7 linked regions of the Ovis aries genome follow. The protein of the gene in region 1 interacts with the protein of each later gene in a pairwise test. Links are inferred from orthologs where the notes say so. Each region holds a gene or a part of one and is shown in the gene's direction. Other genes may lie near its edges. The genes, in order: GOLGA2, RGS8, GSE1, CDK18, KRT1, UBE3C and FAM161A.

What was found.
Region 2: the proteins of GOLGA2 (region 1) and RGS8 interact in binary tests that used the Homo sapiens proteins (3 or more experiments, as listed by UniProt). The two-hybrid records come from large-scale screens. The link is inferred for Ovis aries from reciprocal best matches to the Homo sapiens genes GOLGA2 and RGS8.
Region 3: the proteins of GOLGA2 (region 1) and GSE1 interact in binary tests that used the Homo sapiens proteins (3 or more experiments, as listed by UniProt). The link is inferred for Ovis aries from reciprocal best matches to the Homo sapiens genes GOLGA2 and GSE1.
Region 4: the proteins of GOLGA2 (region 1) and CDK18 interact in binary tests that used the Homo sapiens proteins (3 or more experiments, as listed by UniProt). The two-hybrid records come from large-scale screens. The link is inferred for Ovis aries from reciprocal best matches to the Homo sapiens genes GOLGA2 and CDK18.
Region 5: the proteins of GOLGA2 (region 1) and KRT1 interact in binary tests that used the Homo sapiens proteins (3 or more experiments, as listed by UniProt). The two-hybrid records come from large-scale screens. The link is inferred for Ovis aries from reciprocal best matches to the Homo sapiens genes GOLGA2 and KRT1.
Region 6: the proteins of GOLGA2 (region 1) and UBE3C interact in binary tests that used the Homo sapiens proteins (3 or more experiments, as listed by UniProt). The two-hybrid records come from large-scale screens. The link is inferred for Ovis aries from reciprocal best matches to the Homo sapiens genes GOLGA2 and UBE3C.
Region 7: the proteins of GOLGA2 (region 1) and FAM161A interact in binary tests that used the Homo sapiens proteins (3 or more experiments, as listed by UniProt). The two-hybrid records come from large-scale screens. The link is inferred for Ovis aries from reciprocal best matches to the Homo sapiens genes GOLGA2 and FAM161A.

Annotation. Positions count from the first base shown.
Region 1 is NC_056056.1:8,015,303-8,018,802, forward strand, and holds part of GOLGA2 (golgin subfamily A member 2), read left to right. Parts: intron 1-2,858; coding exon 2,859-2,975; intron 2,976-3,242; coding exon 3,243-3,286; intron 3,287-3,388; coding exon 3,389-3,452; intron 3,453-3,500. UniProt on the Homo sapiens protein: Peripheral membrane component of the cis-Golgi stack that acts as a membrane skeleton that maintains the structure of the Golgi apparatus, and as a vesicle thether that facilitates vesicle fusion to the Golgi membrane.
Region 2 is NC_056065.1:63,189,037-63,193,171, reverse strand, and holds the start of RGS8 (regulator of G-protein signaling 8), read left to right. Parts: upstream 1-1,335; 5' UTR 1,336-1,560; intron 1,561-4,135. UniProt on the Homo sapiens protein: Regulates G protein-coupled receptor signaling cascades, including signaling via muscarinic acetylcholine receptor CHRM2 and dopamine receptor DRD2.
Region 3 is NC_056067.1:11,180,734-11,184,233, forward strand, and holds part of GSE1 (genetic suppressor element 1), read left to right. Parts: coding exon 1-326; intron 327-1,007; coding exon 1,008-1,120; intron 1,121-1,337; coding exon 1,338-1,608; intron 1,609-2,612; coding exon of another isoform or gene 2,613-2,632; exon of another isoform or gene 2,633-2,866; intron 2,867-2,872; coding exon 2,873-2,986; intron 2,987-3,500.
Region 4 is NC_056065.1:3,132,048-3,135,547, forward strand, and holds part of CDK18 (cyclin-dependent kinase 18), read left to right. Parts: intron 1-465; coding exon 466-591; intron 592-1,686; coding exon 1,687-1,743; intron 1,744-2,693; coding exon 2,694-2,808; intron 2,809-2,965; coding exon 2,966-3,060; intron 3,061-3,249; coding exon 3,250-3,312; intron 3,313-3,500. UniProt on the Homo sapiens protein: May play a role in signal transduction cascades in terminally differentiated cells.
Region 5 is NC_056056.1:133,705,813-133,709,142, forward strand, and holds the end of KRT1 (keratin, type II cytoskeletal 1), read left to right. Parts: coding exon 1-103; intron 104-234; coding exon 235-360; intron 361-907; coding exon 908-1,128; intron 1,129-1,862; coding exon 1,863-1,897; intron 1,898-2,005; coding exon 2,006-2,358; 3' UTR 2,359-2,830; downstream 2,831-3,330. UniProt on the Homo sapiens protein: May regulate the activity of kinases such as PKC and SRC via binding to integrin beta-1 (ITB1) and the receptor of activated protein C kinase 1 (RACK1). In complex with C1QBP is a high affinity receptor for kininogen-1/HMWK.
Region 6 is NC_056057.1:120,084,973-120,088,472, forward strand, and holds part of UBE3C (ubiquitin-protein ligase E3C), read left to right. Parts: intron 1-1,669; coding exon 1,670-1,857; intron 1,858-3,500. UniProt on the Homo sapiens protein: E3 ubiquitin-protein ligase that specifically catalyzes 'Lys-29'- and 'Lys-48'-linked polyubiquitin chains.
Region 7 is NC_056056.1:46,312,238-46,315,737, forward strand, and holds part of FAM161A (protein FAM161A), read left to right. Parts: intron 1-2,732; coding exon 2,733-2,971; intron 2,972-3,500. UniProt on the Homo sapiens protein: Involved in ciliogenesis.

The DNA of each region.
Region 1 (3,500 bases):
CCTGCCCCCACCATCTTTTATCATCTTGGAGAAGGTGAGATGCTCCTTGGAGGTTAAAGGTAACTTGGGAATAGTTTTTGGAGCAGGTGTGTGGGATTAGGGCTCTTTGAGCGTTCAGTTTGAACGCCTGGTGGTGTTCTCAGACTAGGAGAGGTTAAATAAAACCATACCTTCAAATCTTGCCCCCTGGGCATCTGTCCCCAAAAGACCAGTAGACCACAAAGCAGTTTGTGATTTTTTTTTTTTTTCAGTTCATCAGTTCCTTTTGGTTTGGCAGTAAGGAATGTTAGGGTTAAGAGAAAAGGAGCTTACTTTATAATAGTTAGAAGGATTGAGGTTATTTTTTCAATGGAACTAACTGTAAGCGATGTGAGGTTCACCAAACACATGAGTGATCAGGACATTCTGCCCCTGTTCTCTTTTAAAAATCCACTGGACACAACTGTATTCAGTGGGACATTGAAAGCAGACAGCTAGTGCTAGGTGCTGGAGAAAACAGGTGAAAGAAGCAAGCCAGGATGTGGCAGCATTCCAAATGCTCAACTGAAGCAGAGGTTCATCCTAAATGGATTCCAGGCTGGAGAGGGTGGCATTCGAAGCTGGTTTGAGGATTAGAAGTGGGGAGCATTCATCCATTTTGCGAGTAGGGGACCCAGGCAGAGGATGTGGTCACAGGTAACGACCAGGACTATGAGCTCACAGAGTATTATCCAGAAAGAAGGGGAGTCTGGGATGCACCTGGACTAGGAGATGACCTCCTCCAGACATGATGTTGGCACTTCCTCCTTAATTAACTTCCTCGGGGAACATCTCCCAGGCCAGAGTAGAACTGGAAGGGGGCCAGGTCCTGCTGGAGATGGGCAGGGGGAGAGGGGTGGGGCCAGGGCCCTGGTGGCTGGGGTGAGAGAGTCTTCAGTCATCAGGACTGCTCACACCCAGTCACTCAGGTCTGTCCAGGTGCTGTGACTCATCCTGTTGGCTCTCAGAGGAGACACTGGGTGGCCCGGGGAGGGAACATGGGCCTCCAGGAGTCCCGAAGCCCTGGCCTGCATCCGTCTGCTCTCCTGGAAATGAAGACCCATAACCCCATGTTCCCTTCTTGTTTTATTTGTCATACTTTTTTTTTTTTTTTTTTTTTCTGCACTGCACAGCTTGTGGGATCTTAGTTCCCCAACCAGGGATTATTAAACCCATGTCCTTTGCATTGGAAGCATGGAGTCTTAACCACTGGACCACCAGGGAAGTTCCCTTTCTTGTTGTTTTAAAATCCTCTCTATATCAATAACTGTTTCCCACTTAAGTTTTCTATTCTAGTAAAAGAAAAAAAAAAACACTAGGCCTGTGATTACAGTATCCTAGGCAGAGCTGATGACATTTCCAGAAATGAGAAATAATGGATAGAAAAAAGTGTGTTTTTTTTCTTTTTTAATGGAATGGGACATTTGAGGGGAGTGGACAATGTTTTTTGAAATTCCATACTTAGTTTTATGATTCAAAATTATGAAATAACTTGGTTGTTCACTAAATTGTCATATTCTGTATATTTCAGTCTTCAGACAAGTCCTTTTTTCCCCTTCTGAGCTCTCTTGTTTCTAATGCTAGGGATCCCTGAGCGCCAAGATGCCAGGAGGGACCTAGGGCTCCCCAGGGCCCATGGCTAAGAGTGTGCTCCCCCTGCCCCACCACTGAAGTCTCACTCCTCGCCAGCTGCCAAACCCCTACTCTTACCTATTAGATTCAGGAGTACAGGTTGGCAAGGCAACACCAGGTTCTGGAGTCAGAGGTCACAGTGAGGACAGTTACCATGCCGACAGTTTGATTCTTCTTCAGCTCCCCAGGCTCTGTGGCGCTTGCTCTAAGGCGGGCAGTAGATTTGAGTTTTCAGAGGCCAGGGCTGCGGCGTCCAGAGAGCAGGCTGCCTTTTCCCTCAGGAGAGGTGCAGCCTCTCCCTTCCAGATCCACCTTGGCTGGCCAGGCCTTGGCTGCCTGGCGCTCTTCCCTGGCCAAGCCTCAGCTAGTCAGTCCTCTGCAGTCTCACCTGTTGAATGGTAGCTCTCAGGAGCCAGCGGCTTGGACTCAGTGTCAGTCAGGCCTGAGCCTGGAGAGAGGCCCAGTGGGGCTCTGGTCAAGCAGGTGAATCCACGTGGGTGGGGGAAGAGGGGACTTCTCTGTGGCCCCTGGTCCTCAAACCCACAATTCTTCTCCAAGAGGCCAATAGTAGACGTCTTCTCTCTGGTTTCTCAGCTGTTTTTGGTTGGGTAGGTGTTTAGGAGCTAGGAACTTAGGGTGGGGTAGTGGCCACAGTTTTCTTTCCACCTGCAGGAGTAGGAGGAGCCTTCTTGTTTGACGGCTTCTTTCCCAAAAAAGGCATGACTCGGGGACACACCCAGTGGTTGGGAGGAGGGATGGAGGGAGAGCAAGAAGGAGGAGGCAGATGCTCTCTTCCTTTATCACTGCCGCGTTCTGCCCAGCAGGGTCCCGGGGGAGGGTCACTCTGGCACAGACTGACCCTCTGGAAAGGCAACACCTGCTTCTCCCTGCCCCGGCACGCTTCCCTCTTACCTGCTGCGGCTGCCAGAGGGCAGCCTGGCCCTGCCTCTGACTGAGCTCCACAGAGGATGACACTCCATGTTCAGGAAGCAGGCCTCACTGCCCTTGCCCTGAGCCTCGGTCCAGAAGGCGGCAGAATGGCCCAAGTTCTAGGCGAGCCGCAGCCACACCCCCGCGTGGCTCCCAGCACGTGTGACTGTCACGACTGCTCAACACCGGTCCTGCCAGCTCTGCACCCCTGCACTCATGACAGCGAGGCACTCTTTGCCCTGCATGGCCCCCTAACCCCCTGCTCTGTTCTGTGACAGGCGCCCAAAGACCGCGCCGCTCCTGTTACACCATCTGCTGATGACACCGTGTCACCTGGCGGTGTCCCTTCCCCCAGTGCTAGTCCCCCCCGTGTCACTAGCATGGCATCAACTCAGGTTTGTGCCTCTTCCCCCTTGGCCCGCTCTGTGTTCACCCCCTCCTGTTTCCCGGAGGACTGGACCTCCTGTGGACCCTCGTCCTTTTTTTCCAGGTATCTTGGCTCTGTGAGCCAGGTGCCCTTCCTGAGGACTGGGATGGGGGAGCCCAAAACCAGACTCCCCTTAAGCTTCAGGGAGGTGGAAAGTGGTCGGAATGAGCTTGGTGCCTGTAGGTGGTTCCTCCTAAAACTTGAATGACCAATTCCTGTGTTTCTTCCCAAACAGAACCATGATGCCGACAACCGTTCTGGTCCCATTGACGAAAGCACGTGAGTGTCTCCCACGGGGGCACCAGTCCCTAGGCCACCGCCCCGTGACCCCCCCTTTCCCATCGAGCCTCCTGCACCCCTGACTGCTGTGTTCATCCCCAGATCCTTTTCATCCACCGAGAGTCTGCGACAGCTGTCTCAGCAGCTCAACGGTCTTGTGTCCGAGGTACCCCGAAAACTGGAGCTCGGCATGGGTTAGAGTAGGAGGGAAAAT
Region 2 (4,135 bases), on another chromosome or scaffold:
GATCACCTGAGACATGACAAAGACGTCTCAGTCATGTTTGCAACCCCCACGGCGCACAGTCGGCGCCAAGGATTGTTGGCCGAATTGACCTGATTTTGTTGAACTGGGGCAATGTCTGACGCTGCAGTGAACCGGTTGGTGATCATGATGGATCACAGTGACACTGTCCTAACGAGAGCAGCTGTCCCCTGGGGGTCATCTGGGGCGGCGCTGGTCAGGGCGTGTGGACGCCGGCCTGAAGGAAAGGAACTAGCTTGTAGTGGGAGGACGGGTCCCTGGAAACCTGTCGCAGTTCTTGGCCCCTGCATCCCCCTCCCTGCCCTCCGGAGAAGGTCCTCATCTGAGATCTCTCTCCGTTCATTAGCTGTGCTCATCGAGTCTCCCCAGCTGCACTTCCTCTGGTCTTTTCTGGCTTTGCTGTTTATTTATTTGTTCCCCGTCAGCCTCTTTCTCTGGCTCTGCTTGTAAACAGAGCCGATGACTGTCAGCTCCAGGGCCTATGTGGTGAACCTGGTGCCCCCAAGTGGGGGCAGCAGGTCTCATAGACTCTAGAATCCGATGCCAACGGTTATTTATCCCTGACCCTCAGAAGCTGCTCCAGGCACTGGCCCAAGCTGTCCACAAAGTTTTTCTCCTGATCATCCAAATGGAACTTTACAGACAGAAGCATCACATGACATGTTCTCTCTGTCCCCTCCTAGCCCTCTCTCTTGGTCCTTGTTCTTGCCACCATACCCCCATCACAGGTTGGGCAGCTGACCGGGGGGCACCCAGGCTGGCCTGTGGTGTGGAGTGGCAAATAACACGAAACGTTTCATGCATTACACTCTTCCCTGGCTGATTTTTAATCCTCATTAAGAAAGTTAGAACTGGGCTTCCTCTACCTTGCCCAGCCATCCCAAAGCCAGAGTATCCTTGCTGGTTGGCTATGGCAGGAGAGAGCTCTTTGAGGCTGAGCCTTTGTCTTTTGCATCCATCCCGGTCTGTTTTTGAGGCGAGGCAGGTTCTCCTCTCTCTCCTGAGGCCAGTTACCCTGTTTCACCCCCTTCCCTGCTGTGCAACCCTGGGGGACCACCTCTGCCTCCACTTCCACCCTCAGACCCCTGGGGGCTCTGCTTCTCCCTGCCTTCTGCAGCGCACTGGCCCCTCGGAGGCAGCTGCCAGTGAGCTCGCTGTCAGCAGGAGAGCCTCATAGGCAGTGCCATTCTGCTCGAGTCTGCGGTCCTCCCCCGACTCTGCGTGGCAGCGCGCATCATCTGTCAGAGTGCCCCCTCCCCTCCCTCCGCTTCCCCACCCCCTTCCCCTGGCGCTTGCCGCCTTCCCGGTTCATGAGATGCAAAGCCCGTCAGGCGGGTGAGGAGCCAGCAGGAGCCGCATGTTACAGCCGCCCTGCTAGGGGTACCCCCCCAACTCGCGGAGGTGAGGTGAGCCGCCCCTCGGCAGCCCTCTCCCATGTACCAGGAAGTGGATGACTCGGTCACTCTGGGCTTCACTGAGCCATGCCCAGCTGGTACCGGCGCCAGCCAAACCTTCCCAGCTGCACTGCCCTTCACCAGACAGGTAAGAGAGAGCTGCTGTTCCAGCCGGGCGAGAGGGTCCCCGAACTGGCCCTCCCCAGCCGGCCATCCTGAGCCATGAGTCTTGCTGGGAAGTGCAGGGCACTCCAGTGCAGAAAAGGCGCTGTCTGCCTGTCATAACCCTACCATCCCATTTTCTAACAGAGCTCCTTAGACAGACTGGGTTAAGCCAGTCACTCTTGCCAGGAGCAAGGGTGCAGGAACATGCCCATTCTTCCTGGTCAGTGGGTGCTAAGCTGCCAATATCCTGTTTTTGTTCTTTCTCCTCCCCTGAAACCTCCTTTCTGGTCCAAGGGGACGCAGTATCTCCCCGCAGATCCCTTCGGGGGCTCTGTGATTATGGTAGATTGCTGCCTGGACCGTGACACTGTTTCTGTTCGTTTCATTCATGTCTTTGCTGTTGTGTTCGGCGGATCGCCGGCACAGCAGTCTGGCTGCCCACAGCATCTGTTCTGTTTCCAGACAGCGTGCAGGTCCCCTGTGCTGCTGGTGACTAATGCTGGTGACACATTCTGATGCAGGAGAACTCACGATCACAGTGGGTTCAAGGGAGATCAAAGTACATCGGAGGTCACTGATTTTTTTGCGTTTTCAGCTTTATTGAGATGTAGTGACAGATAACATTGTAATATGTTTAAAGTGCCCAATGGGATGATTTGATACATGTATGCATTCTGAAAGGACTCCCACCATCGAGTTAATTAACACATCCGCTGGCAGGTCACCAACTTCTAGTTTCAAATATTTTCCCACATTTTTATTATTGCATATAATGTTGGAAGAATATCATAGAGTTTTGTTCACATTCCGGATTGTTTTCTTAGACATAGTCTTAAAATGAGACTTTCTGGGATGGTCTTTTTTTTTTTTTAACTGATACAAGTGACATCTAACATCGTTTTGGTTTCAGGTTACAGTGTAATAATCTGATATATGCATGTATTATGCAAAGATCACTGCAGTTAAGTCCAGTTAACTTCCATCACCACACGTAGCTGCAATTGTTTTTTTTAGGAGAGGGCAGGTCACCAATTTCTAAGCAGTGAGTTGAGGACAGAGTAAACGTCTATAGGAGGTGTTTTCTTGGCATCAGCTTCTCAGAGCTGTCTAGGGGGGCGTGGAGGAGAGCGGCTTTTCTCTGTGCTAGAGTCATTCCATCTCAGCCTATTGTTTCACTCCACACTTAAAACCTGGCTGAAGGTCCTTATAGGTGTTTATCTTGGGATGCTTTCAAACTAATGAAATAGGAAGGAAAGCCTACCCCTTCCTGCAACTTGGGTTATTTTTGGATTATTTGTTCCCACAGTTTTGGAAAACTCCAGGTGTTTTGGGGAAGATGCAGGAGGTGCTGGAAAGTGGGGGAGTGAGATTACCGTTATCGAGAGAGTATCTACGTGCTTGGGGGAAAGTTCAAAGCTCTAACTGGCAATGTGTTATTATGCTGATGATGGCTTTTACTTTTAGTTTGGGAATGGTATCCCTGTGAGCACTCAGTCAGTCTGGCAAACTGTTTTTATTAACCATTTGCTCTTTGCTCAGTCCTTAAAATAGGTGTCCTAGTAGAAGATTGATGGGAGAGGGGTGAATGGGGATTGGAGAGTGTTGGGTGACCCCTAGTCCACCGTGGCCTGGCCGAGGTAAGCTGCTCCTGGAGACCCTGTTATTTTGGCATTAAAATTTTTTCTCACACAGTGCTTTATGCACAAAGGAATCTTAAAACTTTCTCATGTTCTTTGTCCATTTGAATTAGACTTTCGCTTGAAGCCAAGGTCTTTCTCCTATGGATCAGTGAGCTTCAACCACAAGAGTCATTTCACAAATGCCAGGGACTCCCAAGGGATTGAGTAAGAGGTAGATGGTTGGCTGCACAAGATCCATCATATTACCATTTAAAAAATCCTCCAAATGTGGGTCTCAGGGATGAGTCAGCAGTAGCAGCAGTACTGAATGTGATGCAATGTTGTATAGAGTGGAAAAAGCCCTGGGGGTCCTGGGTTCGAGTCTCCCTAGGGTCATTAATTGAATTACCCTGTGCCCTTCACTCAGGGATCCTGTACAGCTTTGTTTTTATCATCTGTAAAATGGGTACAATAACAAGGGCCCAACTTACCTCCAAAAGTTTTTATGAGAATCAACTAAAAAATGATGATAGCTGCTGGTTATCAAGATGTGCTGGGCAACTTTACTAGGTATTTTCCTTACATGATGCTGTTTAATCCTTCCAACTTCCCTAAAACTTAGTCTCCAGGAGCTTAAGAAACCTGATCAGCTAAAGAAGTGAAAGCAATTTTTAGGTTTTGGCAGTGCCATACAAATATAAGTTTTGTTGTGTATCACGACTTCATGGCTTAGGATATTTATCCTGCTAATCCTTTCCTAGGCTCTCCCGTCCCATATGCTTGCTCATTTCATTTCTGTCCAAATACTTACAGCTCCAGAGCCACTAGAAACGCTCCTTGCTTTTCCTGTCTTGAAAATTAGAATACCTTTCACTGTTCAAGAAGCATCAACATTCTCACCAGAACCTTTATCAGGACCTTTATTCTCTGTTTGGAATT
Region 3 (3,500 bases), on another chromosome or scaffold:
GGCCGTGCCCCTGGACAAGTACCCGCCGCCGCCCCGGGAGCCAGGGGCCCTGGAACCGCAGGCCTTCCCCCCGGGGCCCGGGCCCTTCCTGGCGGAGCTCGAGCCAGCCACCCCGACTGTCTTGGGCCAGCCCCGGGCCTCGCTCGCCCCGCCGGCCACCTTCGGGGAGCCCCCCGGACCCCTGAAGCCGGGCTCACCCTACCGGCCCCCACCGCCTCGGGGCCCCGACCCGGCCTACGTCTACGATGAGTTTCTGCAGCAGCGCCGGAGGCTGGTCAGCAAGCTGGACCTGGAGGAGCGCCGGCGGCGGGAGGCCCAGGAAAAAGGTCTGGTCTCCCCTCCTCGCTCCTGCGCTTTCCCCCAGACTGCTGGCCCAGGACTCGGCCAGCAGCGCCCTGGGATTCCCCGGAAAGCCACAGAGAACAGGAGAGCAGGCAGGCCCGGGTCGAGCGTGGTGCCTTCCACCCACACAGCCCCTCAACAGCCGGGTGGGACCAGGGGTCCCAGCCTAGCTCCTGCCGGGTGCCAAGCCCAGCCTCACAGCCAGAAGTGGGGCCCCAGGCCACGTGAGGAGCACGTGTTTGGTCCTGGAAGGGCCACCCCTCCACTCACCTGTGAGGTGGCCGGTCTGGCCCTGGGCCCTCGGGCTCTGCTGTTCTGCACGGGACTCTGCGCGCGGACTCTGCGCCTTTGTGCGGACGGGGCCCTTGAGTGCCCTGGCTCTCCTGAGCAGGAGGGGGATCGGATGTGCAGACAGACCTGGGCTACCCTGGCAGTCCCTTGCTAGGGGGCTGTGTCAGCCCTGGTGCGCACCTCGTGCCCCCACCGCCAGCCCTGAGGAGGCCTGGGGCCAGGGGTTAACGGACGCAGGGCCCAGGGTTGGGGGTGGTCAGGGGCAGCAGGGCCTGGCCTATGGGTGGGCTCTCAGGTCCGAGGGGTGCCCCGTGTGCATCCCCTGGAAAGGTGAGCCCCCTTGCCTGGCTGAAGAGCTCCGTTCCTGCCTCCAGGATACTACTACGACCTGGACGACTCCTACGACGAGAGCGATGAAGAGGAGGTCAGGGCCCACCTCCGCTGCGTGGCCGAGCAGCCGCCCCTCAAACTGGACACATCCTCCGAGGTATCTGGGGTCTCACCGCTGTTGGGCCCTGGGCTGGGCTGTGGGCACCCCTCTCGGCTTCCCCGCGCCGGCTGAGATGCCTTCCGGGCGCCCTCCTCCCCCTCCCCGGGCCAGCCCGGAGCGTCCTCAGCGCAGCCTTCGAGGCCCAGGAGGCCCCGGGGTCAGCGGGAGCCTCTGCCCGTGGTTTCAACCTCATTTGTTTTCTTTCCCAATCTAGAAGCTAGAGTTTTTGCAACTTTTTGGCTTGACCACCCAACAGCAGAAGGAGGACTTGCTGACCCAGAAGCGGAGGAAACGCCGGCGGATGCTGAGAGAGCGCAGCCCGTCGCCCCCGACGGCGCGGAACAAACGGCGGACGCCTTCGCCCAGACTGGCGCTGTCCACCCGCTACAGCCCTGACGACATGAACAGCAGCCCCAACTTCGAGGAGAAGAAAAAGTTCCTGACCATCTTCAACCTGACCCATATCAGCGCCGAGAAGAGGAAAGGTGAGGCGGGGCCGGGCTGGGCCTCGGGACAGGCTCACCAGGGCGGCCGGGGGTCTCTGAGGAAGCAGGCGGGGCCGTGGGCTCTCGGGGTTGAAGTCGGTCACAGACTCGTACCCCCGTCTCTTCGCCACCACGCCTCTCTCTGTGGGAAACTCACACGGCCCCTCCAGAGCGTGCTTTCTCCTGTGTCGTCCTGGGACACTGAAGGGGGCTGGTGTCCTGTGTAGTCAGCCGTGGACTCCCACCTGCTTTTGTCCCCGCCTGGGTCTCGCAGTGCCTGCGGTCGCTGGGTCTCCGCTGTGCGGGCGGCTCACATGGCCGCCGTTGCTCCTTCTGATGGCAGGAAGTGTGGGTGGTCCGAGGCCATGGGGCGGGGCCGGGCCGACACCCACCCCGCATGGACGGCTCACCCTTCCAGCCCGGTCTGGCCACAAGGGGTGACTGGGCTGGAATCTGAACTCGCCTTCTGGGGCACCCCTTCCCTGGTCTGTACCTCATGCTTGCTCAGCGCCGCAGGAAAACTCGACCTTTCTGAACCACACGCCCACACTGTCCCCGCTTGCCGAGGCCTGGTCACCTCTTTCTGGAAGGAAGTTGAGGAAAGCAAGAGTGCTTGTCGGTCGTTTTAGTTGCTTCCACTCACTTAGTTCGTTTTGGGCTGCACCGGTGGGCCTGGATTCCTGCTCTCCCTTAAAGAGGCAGTGATGGGACCACGACACATCCCTGAGAATGTGAAGGGTTTTGTTTGAGAAGCGCGTCTCTCAGCCTGACTCAAATCCTAAGGAGGTTGGGCGAGGAGCCCCTGAACTGCGGGGTCATACGGGGTGTGTGCGTGTGTGTCCCTCTTCCCTGGTGGCAGCTGACACAGGAGCCTTGCTTGCGGCGGGAGCAGCGGGGAGCTGACCACCCCCGGAGAGAGCCTGCCCGCCCTGAGGCGCGGTGTGGCTTTTCGGGGTTGCTTCCTGTGTTGAGGCCAACTTTTTAAAATGAGAATTCTCCCACAGAGGCCCGCAGGTACCTGTGACTCGCCACATGCACGCACCGTTGTTCTTGGAACACCTGAAACGTCAGGGGGTGGCAGCCTAGGAGTCCGGGCTCTAAAGTGAACGTTCTTCCTCTAAAGCCAGCCTGTGCCCGCGGCTTCGTGTCTCGTTCCGAAGGACTCGCGCCTGCCGGCTGCGGCCTGAGCTACACTCCTGCTCCTCTGCCCGCTCAGGAGTGGCGCGGTCCCCCCCCCGGTAATCTCGGGCTGCTTTTCTCACAGACAAAGAGAGGCTTGTTGAGCTGCTCCAGGCCATGAAGCAGAAGGCGCTGTCCGCCGCAGTGGCAGACCCGCTCAGGAGCTCTCCGAGGGACAGTCCTGCCGTGTCCCTGAGCGGTAAGGCCAGCCCCATCCGCCACCCCCGGGACTGTCCCGGGGGTGCCCAGGGCCGCAGGCCACCGACCACCCCAGGTCGTCTTCCTCCCGGACACGGCGGGCTTCTTTCTCCCTCTCCTTTCTCTCTCTCAAGCTTCCTGCGCGTGAGACGATCTCAGCGGAACACGGTGCCACCAGTCATGCTTTCAGGGGTGTGGGGTCCTGGCTCCTCCGGCGGACTTGGCCTGGTGGCAGGTGTGGCCGCCGTCCATTCCTCCCGCCGTGGCCCAGGTTTCAGTTTCAGCACTTGCTGCCTGGGCTGTGTGCTCCTGGCGTGTGTCTCAGAGGCCCTGTGATACCTGCTTTCTCTCTCTCTCTCCCTCTCACGGCTCTGACTCTGCTGTCCTGCTGACGAAGCAGGAAATGGTGGTGGTCTGGCCCTGTCCTTGGCCCCTGATTCAGTCTTTCTCTCTGGATCTGGCTGTGTAACTTCCTGCCTCTCGGATGACCAGAAGCAACTTGCTCCTTCCTTCAC
Region 4 (3,500 bases), on another chromosome or scaffold:
TTAGATCTGTAACTTCGAGTGGGTTACTCAGCCTCTGCATACCACAGTCTCCTTATGTTAAAATGATCATGATGAAGATGAAATGAGTTAATATATGCCACGTGCTCAGAACATTCCTGGTACACAGCAAGGGCTAGACAATTTGACTATTGTTCTTATGGCCCATATCCATGTGCCCAAATGTATGAAAAACAGGCTCACAGAAGCAGTGTCTACAGGAGTCTCAGGCTGCAGATGGTGACTCTGAGGCTCAGAGAGGGCAAGGGACCTCCTGAGGTCACCCAGCACCACCTGGATGCTCATGTTTGCCCCTGAGCACAACTTTGAAGCAATCCTCACCCATGATTCAATCCTGCTAGGACTGTTCACAGGGAAGGAGAGACCCAGGCTGGGAGATGCAGGCCCCACAAGCCCTGGCTAGCCGGGAGCAAACTCGGACACCTTGTTCCATCCTGGCCCCTGCAGGACATCAGTAAGAGGCTCTCTCTGCCCATGGACATCCGCCTGCCCCAGGAGTTCCTGCAGAAGCTGCAGCTGGAGAGCCCAGACCTGCCCAAACCGCTCACCCGAATGTCCCGCCGCGCCTCCCTGGTGAGTCCTAAGAAGGTCAGAGGTCACCAGAGTGGCCACCCACTCCCCTGCATGGTCCTGGTTTAGCCTGTCCCAGCTGAGGCCTGCAGCGGTTTCCAGGGAGGTTTCTGGGCCTCTAGCGCCACCTGCTGGCTATATAGGATTCCCACAGCGGATCCTCCTTTGTCCATCTCCATTCCCCAGTTGGGTCCCACCAGTGATGGAGCTGGGCCCACTCTGGGTTCCTGAGTCTTCACTGAGATGAGATCAGTAAGCCAGCTAGCACGTGTTTCTGAGCCTTGGCCTGTCAGATTTCCTTTGGAAATCTTACAAAACACAGATTCTGATCCCCCATCCAGATACCTACAGAATCAGACTCTGGGTGGTGGGGCCCGGGAATCCATACTTTTAAGGGTTGTAGTGCAAGGAGATCCAACCAATTCATCCTAAAGGAGATCAGTCCTGGGTGTTTATTGGAGGGACTGATGTTGAAGCTGAAACTCCAATACTTTGGCCACCTGATGCGAAGAGCTGACTCATTTGAAAAGACTCTGATGCTGGGAAAGATTGAGGGCAGGAGGAGAAGGGGATGACAGAGGATGAGATGGTTGGATGGCAACACCGACTCAATGGACATGGGTTTGGGTGGACTCTGGGAGTTGGTGATGGACAGGGAGGCCTGGCGTGCTGTGGTTCATGGGGTCGCAAAGAGTCGGACACAAATGAGCAACTGAACTGAACTGAGTGCTGAGTGAGAGCAAGTGTGCTGATGGGAGGCTGTAGGGAAGTGGGTTCTGAACTGGACACTCAAGGTGCGGTGACAGAAAAGGTACAGTTCCTGTCCTTGAGGGGCTTCTGAGCAGGATGGAGACAGGTGATGAAGGCATGGGGCAATCCCAGGCCTGCACCCTGGGCTCTGGTCCCTGCGCTGCCATGGGAGAAAGAAACTCACTCCCAGGGCCAGAGAGAAGACGGGGAGAGAACACCTGGCACTGCCCTCCCCCTGCTCGCGTCGGACCCGCAGGGTCTCGTTCCCTTCTCGCCTGGAGCCCAGGGCGGGGAGAGTGGCCGTAGGCGGGGGCCTTCGGGCTCACAGATGCTTTGTCTCTCTCTCAGTCAGATATCGGCTTTGGGAAACTGGAAACATACGTGAAACTGGACAAACTGGGGGAGGTAAGAAGCCAGGTTGCCAGGCAGGATGGCGAGGAGGAGGAAGGGGGTCTCCCCAGCCTCTCTGGTCTGCACTCACATGCCCCTGCCCACAGCTCCTGCCATCTACGCTCTTGGCCATGCAGTCTGTCTGGCCAAGCCTTCGGCAGGTGTTAAGGTGGGCCCAGGTCCTGGAGGAGGCCCTGAGGCCCTAAGGATGGAGTGGCTGATGGACTCTGGGTCAGAATGCAGTCTTTTTATTCTGCAAGTACTTCATGCCTAGGATCACGTCCCAGCTCCACTGTTGGCTAGCTGTGTGGCCTGGGGTGAGCTCTGGGGTGACCGCCCCCTGTGCCTTGATTTCCCCCTCTGTCAGTGGAGGGCACTGTGAGGACTGAGGAGGTCCCTAGAATAAGCTTTTGCACTGTGTGTTTACTGGCTATTTCTGTTGCCACTGCACTGGCCTCTGTGTTCCAGGCTGGGGGGTGAGCAATGGTTTGCAGAGAGGAGGAGAGTGTAGCCCTATCCTTCTAGGGAGCCAGAGGAGGCCTGCGTGTAAACGTTGACAGAATATAAGGGAGAACAAAACTAATGCTGTAATAGAGGGGCACCTTGCCTGCTGGGAGCGTGCAGGAGAGACGCTCCTTCCGACCGGGGAGGAGTTAGGGACGGCCTCACAGAGAAGCAGGCTTTGGAGGAATGAGCATTCCAGTGAAGTGCACGGGGTGGGGAGGGTAGGCAGGGTGTGCACGCCAAGTCACTTCAGTCATGTCCGCCTGTTTGAGACCCCGTGGACTGTAGCCCACCAGGCTCCTCTGTCCGTGGGATTTCCCAGGCAGGAATACTGGAGTGGGTTGCCGTTTCCTCTTCCAGTTGGCAGGGCAGTCTGGCCCACATCACAGCCCAGGCAGAGGCACAGAGAGGAGGGCGTTGGACAGAGGAGAGCTGGCCCTGACTGCTGTTCTTGCTCCCAGGGAACCTATGCCACAGTCTTCAAGGGGCGCAGCAAACTGACAGAGAACCTCGTGGCCCTGAAGGAGATCCGGCTGGAGCACGAGGAGGGGGCGCCCTGCACTGCCATCCGCGAGGGTGCGCACCGAGGCTCCTGCGGGCTTGAGGCTCCGGGGGGTCCTGAGCCTGGGGGCAGCTAGGGGCTAGGAGACATGGCTGGGGGGGGACCCCCGAGGCTGATCCCAGGAAGAGGGGTGAGGGGCACGCGGGGCTCAGGCGCGCCTGTCGCCCATAGTGTCTCTCCTGCGGAACCTGAAGCACGCCAACATCGTGACCCTGCATGACCTCGTGCACACGGAGCGCTCCCTCACCCTGGTGTTTGAGTACCTGGTGAGTGGGCATGGGGCTGGGGCAGAGCGTGGAGGTGGCCCGGGCCTTGTTCCCAGAGGCCAAGGGCCCAGGCTTAGGGGCGGCTCGGAGCCGGGGGCCTGTCCCACTCCCGGGCTGGGCCCCGCCTCCAGGAGGGCTTCTGGCCAGGGTTCGGGTCAGGGTGGGGCTGAGCCAGGCGCCGTGTTCCAGGACCGTGACCTGAAGCAGTATCTGGACCACTGCGGGAGCCTCATGAGCATGCACAACGTCAAGGTGAGAGCCTGCTTGTCACAGACCGCCCTGCAAGGCCTGCTTTAACCCTCCGCGCTTCCAGCTCATCTGTCCATGGACCACCCCCCACCCCCAGGGCTGCTGTAACCCTCCCCGCTTCCAGCACATCTGTCCATGGATTGCCTCCCCCAGGGCTTCTGTAACGCTCCCCGGTTCCAGCACGTCTATCC
Region 5 (3,330 bases), about 130 Mb from region 1:
CCGCAATTTGGACCTGAATAGCATCATTGATGAAGTCAAAAACCAATATGAAGAGATTGCCCAGAGGAGCAAGGCTGAGGCTGAGGCCCTGTACCAGACCAAGGTGAATGGGCCGATGCCTGTTCAGTTTTCCTAAAGTGTCTTCTCTTGCTATCGTGACTTTTCTCTTACATTTGTGTACATGAGCCATGGTGCACTCTGCCACCTCTGAACGACTTTATCTACCATATTTAGTATGAAGAGCTCCAGATCACTGCTGGGCAACATGGAGACAGCTTGAAAAACACAAAGATGGAGATTTCTGAGTTGAATCGGGTGATCCAAAGACTTAGATCTGAGATCGACAGTGTCAAGAAGCAGGTACTTGCTTCCTCCTTCAACTACTCAATTATATGGAATGGGTTGGGATGTCCAGGTTATTGGAAGATGTGTTCTTAATTTTGAGGCTTACAATCCATATGAAGGTTGTCTTGTTATCCCTAGTTCTTTGGTAACTATGGTTTCTAGAGTTTGGCCATGATGCTAGGTTCTCCTTGGGGAAACTTATGAAAATGACCTAGTAAAGAAATAGATATAGTGGTCATGAGAGGTCTAGCCCATGGCCCAAAGTGAGACTTCAAAGATGGTGAGGAAAGGAAACCAGGAGAGTAGGCATCTGGAAGAACGTCAGGTCTGTAGGCGGTGAAAGAGTCTTAACTTAGGGCCCAGAGAGGCTGCTGTATCACCTTTATTTAAGGAAGTTGACACAGTGATGTATTATCTCAAGACAGGTGAATGCAGGTCCTGTAACTCTCTGGGAGCCAGAGTACTGGCCTCACAAGGGTGGAGAGATCAATCGGAGACAGAAAGGCCAAGATGGAATTAGGGATTCAGAGAGTGTATAATATGCTGGGTTCTCCTTTTCCAGATCTCTTCACTGCAACAGGCCATTAGTGATGCTGAGCAACGTGGTGAGAACGCCATTAAGGATGCCCAGAACAAGCTGAACGAGCTGGAGGACGCCCTGCAGAAGGCCAAGGAGGACATGGCCCGCCTGCTGCGCGACTACCAGGAACTGATGAACACCAAGCTGGCCCTGGATGTGGAGATTGCCACCTATAGAACCCTCCTGGAAGGAGAGGAAAGCAGGTGAAGAAGGGACCCTGGGCAGTTGGCCACTTCCTATGTGCTTCCTCCCTTGGACACTGGTTGCTGTTGAAGATGCAATCACGTGACTGCAACTTGTCCTGGGTATGGGGAAAGGAAAAGCACACAGCACAGGAGGAAACGCTTGGTTTCACTTTGGGAGCCAGAGTCCTAAGCTCTTTTTGTTTTTTGTGTTTTGAAGGCTGTTGCCTCTCTCTGAACTCTTTGAGAGAGAGCAATTTATTCTTCACCTGAGTGTGTGTGTGTTGGTCGCTCAGTCGTGTCCAACTCTTTGCAACCCCATGGATTGGGGCCCACCAGGCTCCTCTGTCCATGGGATTTTCTAGGCAAGAGTATTGAAGTGGGTTGCCATTTCCTTCTCCAAGGGATCTTCCTGACCCAGGGATCGAACCTGGGTCTCCCACATTTCAGGCAGACTCTTTACTGTCTGAGCCACACCTGGGCTGGCTCAGATGTCATCTGACCTAAAGCCAGTGCCTTTGTGATGTGGTGGGCATATTTACCTTGTCTAAGTTACATGGAGGTTTTGCCCTGTTAGTACTGATGCTGAGAAAAATGACCGAGTTCGGGAGGCCAGAGGGAATGGGATTAGGTTTCAGATGAAGCAGCCTGGGGGACTCCCAGGTGGGAAGACTCTTTACAGATGGCTGAGAGGGCCTGGGGAGGCAGTCTGTGAAGCTGGCATCATGAGTATTATGCTTTTCTTTCTCCTTCAGGATGTCTGGAGAGTGTGTCCCGAACGTGAGTGTGTGTAAGTACAAACTGATTTCTCAGGGCTTCTTCTCGGGTGCAGGTTTTGCTGGTCTTGCTGGGTTGGAAAGGGAGTTGGGGTTGATGATAGCCGAATGTTCTCTTGCAGCTGTGAGCACCAGTCACACCAGCATCAGTGGCGGCGGTGGCCGAGGAGGCGGTGGTTTTAGCTCCGGTGGCGGCGGCTACAGTTCTGGAGGCGGCGGCGGCGGCGGCTATGGCTCTGGAGGTGGCGGCGGCTACGGCTCTGGAGGTGGCAGCAGCTACGGCTCCAGAGGTGGCGGCAGCTACAGCTCTGGAGGCGGCAGCAGTGGGAGCCGGAGAGGCGGCTCTGGAGGCGGCGGTGGCGGCTCTGGAGGCAGCTTCAGCTCCTCGGGAGGTCGGGCATCCAGCACCAAGACCTCCGGTGGCAGTTCCAGCGTGAAGTTTGTTTCCACCAGCTATTCCAGAGGGACCAGATAAAGAGGTCCTCTCTCCTCCATTAGCTTTCTCTCTCCATCACTACCAAATATGCTTCCGAGTGTCCCAGCCTTACTGGAGGAAGAAAAGCTATGGTTACACTGGTTCATCCTATTCCCTAGCTCTGTCCTTTCTGCTCTGATTTCCAAAGAAAATTTTTAAATCAGTGACAATCTCAGTCCCTCAGCTAGGACCCTGCTCTGTACTCTGCCCAAGAAACACTTCAACAATCACTGCTACACACATTACATTTCAAAGCACCTCCTTAAGTCAGCCAGAGGAGAGCTGGTCAGACCCACGGCTTCTTTGCCATGGACAGAGCACAAGCTCTGGACAGCTCCCTGGTGTCCTAACTTGCACAGCAAGCTCCGTGCTGCTTTGGTTTTGCACATAATGTGTAAGCCAGTTGTCTTTTGTGGAGAGGTCTTCAACTCCCCGTTTCCTGTGTTGCTGCAATAAACTGCATTTGAAATTCTCTCTGTGTCTCCATCTCCTTTGTTCACAGCACTGTCCATCCTGGATGGGTGTTCTGTGGGGAGAAGACGACCCTGGAGCCCTATGGTGTGTGTGTTGGGGGGAGGGCGGGGTTGGGGCACATGAACATGAGCAAGGTGGGGACGCTGGTCAGACAACATTTAAATTTAAACATTCAACATTTAACTAGAATGAACTCTTGTGCAGAGGGTGAAGGTGTCATGAGAAATAGAGAGACTAGGGTAGCAGGTTTTACTCATCGGAGAGGGCTTACTTGAACAGGGCAGTGAACCAAGCAGGGTGGGAAAGAGGAATCCGGCATTGAAAAGAGGGGGAGAGTATTATTGGAAAAGCAATTGTTTATGTGGAATAGCCAGTGATGATGTTATCAAAGAAAACTTGGGGCCACTTGCCCTTGTGCAGTAAAGCCCAGGTACTGACACCAGATTATGATGAAGGAAAGTACAGTGTTTATGGTGGGTGCCAAACAAGGAGTCTGGG
Region 6 (3,500 bases), on another chromosome or scaffold:
GAAATGGCAACCCACTCCAGTGTTCTTGCCTGGAGAATCCCAGGGACGGGGCAGCCTGGTGGGCTGCCATCTGTGGGGTCGCACAGAGTCAGACATGACTGAAGCGACTCAGCAGCAGCAGCAGGCTACAAGAGAGGGTGAACAGTTTTCACATGCGCTGGTAAGCCAGGAGGTTCATGTGGCTCGCTTTATTCCGGTGCTCGCTTTGCCGTGGTGATCTGGAGCCACGCCTGTGCCATCTCCACCGAGTGCCGCTGCACAGTGTAATTTGTGCCTGAGTGCAAAAGAGGAGAGAGAGAGCTGGCTCAAAACTCAGCATCAGAAAGCGAACATCATGGCACCAGGTCCCATGACTTCATGGGCAAATCGATGGGGAAACAGTGACATTTCATTTTCTTGGGCTCCGACATCACTGCAGACAGTGACTGCAGCCACGAGATTCAGACGCTTGCTCCTTGGAAGAAAAGCCATGGCGAGCATAGCATATCGAAGAGCAGAGACACCAGTCTGTTGATGGGGGTCTGCTAGTCAAAGCTGCTGGTTCTTCAGGGAGTCAGATACAGATGGGAGAGTTAGACCATGAAGAGGGCGGGGTGCTGAAGAGCTGATGCTTTTGAATTGTGATGCTAGAGAAGACTCTTGAGAGTCCCTTGGACTGCAGGGAGATCAAACCAGTTATTCCTAAAGGAAATCAGTCCGGAATCTTCATAGAAAGGACTGATGCTGAAGCTGAAGCCCCAATACTTTGGAAGAGCCGACTCATTTGAGAAGACCCTGATGCTGGGAAAGATTGAGGGCAGGAGGAGAAGGGGACAACAGAGGATGAGAGGGTTGGATGGCATCACTGACTGAATGGACATGAGTTTGCGCAAGCTCTGGGAGATGGTGAAGGACAGGGAGGCCTGACGTGCTGCGGTCCATGTGGTCGCAGAGAGTCGGACACGACTGAGTGACTGAACAGCAGCAGCGACGTGCGGATGCACGCGTGTGAGCTGCGTCTCTCGCAGGGCGTGTCATGTGGCAGAGCGTTACGGATCACACAAGCTGCATCCCTCCAGGCTCCCAAGCAGTGCAGTCAGCAGTGCCCAAACTGCACGTGCAGTCACATTTGTTTCCTCGTGTATGTGTGTGTGCGTGCATACGAGTGTGAGGAGAGTCTGTGTTTCACTAATAGACCAGATAGGTAAGCTCCATTGAGTATTAGCTCAGATTTCAGTCAGTGTATCAGATATTCGAGAGAAGTTGAGATACAAAATGACAGGTTTATGTATGCATTTTGATTTTTTTAACGTTTTTAAATATTTGCTTAAACTGTGGTATCTCAAGTCATCTAAAGTGGACATTTTGCCGGATGATAATCCGTTTTCACACGGGGGCTTCGTCTGGAGCGGTCTGAGCACTGTGGAGTGAGCCCTGCTCTCAGTGTGAGGACCTAGAGCTCGTCAGTCCCCCAGCAGCCGCGCCCACGGCCCTGCTCCGCAGGCACAGAGGGACCCGCAGGGGTGCCCTCGGTCTGCAGGGGACCTGAGGGCCATTCGGTGCACGACTTAGCAGAGACGCTGACGTTGTCCGTCGGGATGCGGGTGGCCTTTAGATAGTGCCTGTCGTGTGTGAGTCGCGCTGAGCTCTGCCGGGACGTGGCTGACCGAACGGTCCCTCTGCCTTTCAGGAGGACGGGCGGCTGTCTGTGCTGTACATCGCCGAGGAGTGTCTGAAGAAGCTGGACACGAAGCAGCAGACCAACACGCTGCTGAGCCTGGTGTGGAGGGACTCGGCCAGCGAGGAGGCCTTCACGCTGATGGCGGCCATCTGCCACACGCTCATGGTGCAGCACCGCGTCCTGGTGCCGCGGGCCAGGCGAGTGCCACACCCCCTGCTGCGTGGGCGCCCCGGGCCTCCCGCCCTGGTGGGGGCTCAGGCCTGCCCGGGGCCCGGTGAGGGAGCCCGCAGAGGCTCGGGCTGTCAGAGTGCCGTGACGGTTTACTTTGGTGCCTGAGGAATCCTTTTGTTCTTCAAAGCAGTGAAGTGAATGTTTGAAGGACAAAGCATGGAAGTTTGAATGTGGCCGGTGGATGTGACGGTAACTTTCAGCTCCCCTGTCCCTGTGCTTTGAGGGACAGCTGAGCAGGTTCCTAGGCTTCGGCAGACATGTGCTCAGGGCAGGACGTGAGAGTGGGCACGGTTGTGGGCGGTCCACCGGGAGCTGAGGTCCTCCCGCTGCAGGCGTGTGGGGGCGTGCGTTCCCGGCGGCCCGGCAGAGCCCCTCTTCTGTGGAGAGCTGTTTCTTTGGCTAGGAGAGCATTCTTTGACACGAACTGCGTGCAGGGAGCACTCGGCCGCAGCGGCCTTGTAAACAGTCGTGCAGCCAGCTAATTAGGTGCGATCTTGGCTCGCTGGTGTTTATTACTGTCTGAGGAAGTGAGGCGGCGTGAGGCAGTGAGCCCTGGGTGAGTTGATTAGCTCACGGTGGGCTGATTGCATCGGAGCAGGATGTGAGATCTGAGGACCTGCAGCCCAAGCAGGCCGCTGGTTTTATTGGAGCTCAGAGTCCATGGCTCTGGGCAGTAATGCCTGGACTTGATGTATCACTGCCCTGGCCTGAGGTTTACTGCAGAACCGCTTCCACGGGGTGTTTAATGGGAGAGGAGCTTTATACGTAGCCTGGGTTTTATGAGTACAGCACCTGTTTCCTCTAAGAAAGTACTCTAGGAATTTTATTTATGGTTTAAATATATTAGGTTCTGAGTATTTAGAGTGTTTTTCATAGCTCGTAAAAGAGCAAAGAGGCTTATTTTCGCTGTTGTAGATGTTAACTGCTTTCAGCTTTTTACGAAGGTATTTAAAAGATGATTAGTCAAGTCTAGGCGAATAACTCTCTCTCAGCTCCTCCCAGGCTCATAGTAGTCCCCCTTATTTTCAGGGGTGGGGTTTGTGGCTTTCGCTTCTGTTTACCATTGATCGTCAGGAACTCTGAAGGAATTTGGAGGCCCTTTCTTCATTGATATGGGAAGGTTTCTAAGATACATGTGTAAGTGAAGAAAAGGTTTCAGAACAGTGAGTAGTAATGTTTTGTGCCTTAAAAGGCGGGAAAGGTAGAATGTGTATCTGCATAAAGAAACCTGGCAGCGCTCACAGGAAATTCACAGACGTGATGAATCACACGTCTGGGCTCCTTGTGGGGGTGGGGGCGAGGGTCGAGGAGGTGGAGAGAGTGGACTTTGAACTGTATACTTTAACAGGGTTTTGGGTTTTGAATTATGTGAATTATTTTAATTTTTAAAGATTAAGTAGTTAACGAATCTCTATCTCCTTTTATGAAAGTCTGTAGATCTTACCATTGAACTTGGAAATCTGAATAAGTTTTTGAATTTAAAAATTGCTCTTCTTTTGGAAAACACATTCACTAACTTTGAATGTGAGCAGGCATTCACTGGTTGTGCTGGGGCTGGGAGAAGGCCGGCTCTCTCCCAGTGTCTCGAGAACTGAGCCTCGTAGGTGGA
Region 7 (3,500 bases), about 38 Mb from region 1:
TGTCAGAAAATTCTCTTAAGTGAGTTGTATGACTCAAGTGGGCCTTAAGAAGCACTGCTATTAATAAAGCTAGTGGATGTGATGAAATTCCAGCAGAACTATTCAAATCCCTTAACGGATGTTGCCATCAGGGTTTGCATTCATTATGTCAGCAAATCTGGAAGACCCAGCAGTGGCCACAGGACTAGAAAAAGTCCATCCTCATCCCAGTTCCCAAGAAGGCTAGTACCAAAGAATGTGCTAACCATCGGACAATTGCATTCATTTCTTATGCTTGTAAGGTCATGCTTAAAATTGTGCATGCTAGGCTTCAGCATTATGTGAACCAAGAACTTGAGGATGTCCAAGCTGGGTTTAGAAAAGGAAGAGGAACTAGAGATCAAATTGCCAACATTCACTGGATTATAGAGAAAGCAAGGGAATTTCAGAAAAACCTCTCTCTTTCATCTTTTAGGCTGTGCTAAAGCCTTTGATTGTATGGCTCATGACAAACTGTGGAAAGCTCTTAGAGAGATGAGAATACCTGTCTCCTGAGAAACCTGTATGCGGGTCAAGAAGCAACAGTTAGAACCCTAGATGGAACTACTGATTGGTTCAAGATGGAGAAAGGAGTATGACAGGGCTGTCTGCTGTCACCCTGTTTGTTTAACCTATACGCTGAGCACATCTTGAGAAATACTGGTCTGAACGAGTTACAAGCTGAAGTCTAAGTAGGTGGGAGAAACATCAACAACCTCAGAGATGTGGATGATAACTACTCTAATGGCAGAAAGCGAGGAGGAACTAAAGAACCTCTTGATGAGTATGAGGAGGCGAGTGAAAGAGCCAGCTTAAGACTAGATATTACAAAAACTAAGACTATGGCACCCAGCCCCATTACTACATGGCAAATAGAAGGGGAAAAAGTGGAAGTAGTGACAGATTTCCTCTTCTTGGGCTCCAAAGTCACTGTCGGTGACTGTAGCCATGAAATCAGAAGACAATTGCTTCTTGGCAGGAAAGCTATGACAAACCTAGACAGTGTTGAAAAGCAGAGACATTACTCTGCTGATAAAGGTCCATGTTGTCAAGGCTGTGATCTTCCCGGTTGTCTCATACAGTTGTGAGAGCTGGACTGTAAAGAAGGCAGAACGCCAAAGAATTGATGCCTTCAAACTGTGGTGCTAGAGAAGACTCCTAAAAGTCCCTTGGACAGCAAGGAGATCAAACCAGTCAATCTTAAGGGAGATCAACCCTGAATATTCACTGGAAGGACTGATGCTGAAGCTGAAGCTACAGTATTTTGGTCATCTGATCGAACAGACAACTCATTTTAAAATCCCTGATGTTGGGAAAGATTGAGGGCAGAAGGAGAAGAGGGCGTCAGAGGATTAGATGGCTGGATGGCATCACTGAAGCAATGAATATGAACTTGGGCAAACTCCGGAAGATGGTGAGGGACGGGAAGGCCTGACGTGCTGCAGTCCATGGGGTCACAAAGAGTTGGACACAACGAGGGGACTGAACAACAGCAACATGACTCATAAAGAAATTCTCCAGTTTATTTGGTAATAAATTTCTGCACACTTGTTCTACGGAAGAAAACTTGTTTTCTTTCATTTGTTTTCTCTTAAGTTATCGCAAGTGGTACAACACTGGCCTCATGTTTTTGAGCCCATTAAAGTGTTATAAGTATTATGGACAACTGAATCTTCTGAATTTTCTGTTGGGAGACACTATTCAGGTTTATTTTCTAGAGTCTTATCAGGTTGGATCTCTATTTTTCTTTGGCAAATATACTTTTTTCATTTTGAGTCTATTTCAGGCAGTAAGCTAAATTTAAAACCATAGTAACCTTTTATGCATAGTATCATAAACAATTTCAATTGTTTCTTACCTGAGCAATTTTTATATACTTGTGGAGGATATGGGGTTTTACCTCTTTAAAGTTCTTTCAGTTAAAGGAAATTGAAAGGTATTTGAAGGGAGTGAGGGGGAAAGGATCAGCCTTACCCTTGTAGGCGTGTATATAGAATAACCGCCCTATGTGTTCTTGTTCCCTTGTCACCCCCACAGTCCTTGTCACCATGGGAGCTACTGTTCTTGTTGCCCACAGGAGTGGCTATTCTGAAAGTCCCTCCTACCTTCACCTCCTGCTGTTCCTGAGGTTGCCCCCAACCCCCACCCCATGCACATGGAGGAGAGTTTCTCTCTGGCTTCTTGATGAGCCCCCAAGATTTGTTCCCTCCATTCCCACATTTCCCGGAATTCTCATTCAGTTTTCCTCTCTGCTGAAACACCCTTGGGGCCCACACTGCAAAGCCCAGCTCAGAGAGGGCACTGGGCTATGGTTGGTTGGTCTGCAACAGGAGAAACTGTGTTCTTCATCTCAGATTAGCCTGCTCTGAGAAGGAGGCTCTTTATAAAGCGTGATTTGGTTTGATCCTGCCGTAGTGTTTCTTAGTACATAATTTGAGAATCTAACCACCCTTTAAAGATGGATTAAACAGTATTTATTTTCTGGCAACTTGGTCTCTCTATCTCTCTCTCTCTCTCTCTTATTCTTAATAAAATGCTTATTAGGAGAAAATGTATACAGCCCACAAGTAACTTATGTTATATGTACATAGTCCACAAGTAAACATATAACCTCATTAAGTGGACTTTTAAAAAAGCAGCATTGGGAATAAGTGTCAACTTAATTTGTCTTACAACTCCAGACATCATATAACAGGTTTTTTTCATCCTACCAGGCTGATTTTAACACCAGCATTTATAGGGTGAATGAACAAAAACATATAAGCCATGAGGATTTTGTGGACTTTTCTGATATTTACCACTCTAATGAAGAGTATTTCAGGAAACTAGAAGAGCTGAAGGCAGCCCACATAGAAACTATGGCAAAGTTAGAGAAATTGTACCAGAATAAATTAAATTTAAAGGAAGTTCAGCCAGCAGTCACCAGGGAAGAAGCTGCTAGTGTCTCTTCCAGGTAAGTTTGTCCATACTGTTATTTGTAGACTGTAAGATAAAATGTATAGTTAAAAATGCAAAACAAATTATTTCAAAATATTTTCTCTCAAATATCGCTTTGTGCTTTTAATGATATATGGAGGTGGGTTTTTATTCAGATTGTTTGATGGCTTATCAACCTACTAGGTAGCTTCTTGCTTTGAGGGTTATTTGGTGGACATTCACGTCTTTTCTCTCCGATGCACCACTCTTAGACATGTATCAAAATATTTAGCCTGGGCCATTTTCAAATGTTGAATATTAGAATTCCATTTTAAATGTCTTTTATTTTTATAATATGTGGATTAATGTGAGCTCTTTGCAGATATAACACAGATTGTTCAGAACTAAGACATAAATCTGATTTGTTTTCAAAATAGTCATTTTTGCCATAAACCTGCTTCTTTCGAAACTTGAAGCCAGTCATCCAGTTAGTCAGCACTGATGGTGCATCTCCTGTGTACCAGATGTTGCCTAGGCACTGAGGACTCAAAATCAAGATGCTCTCA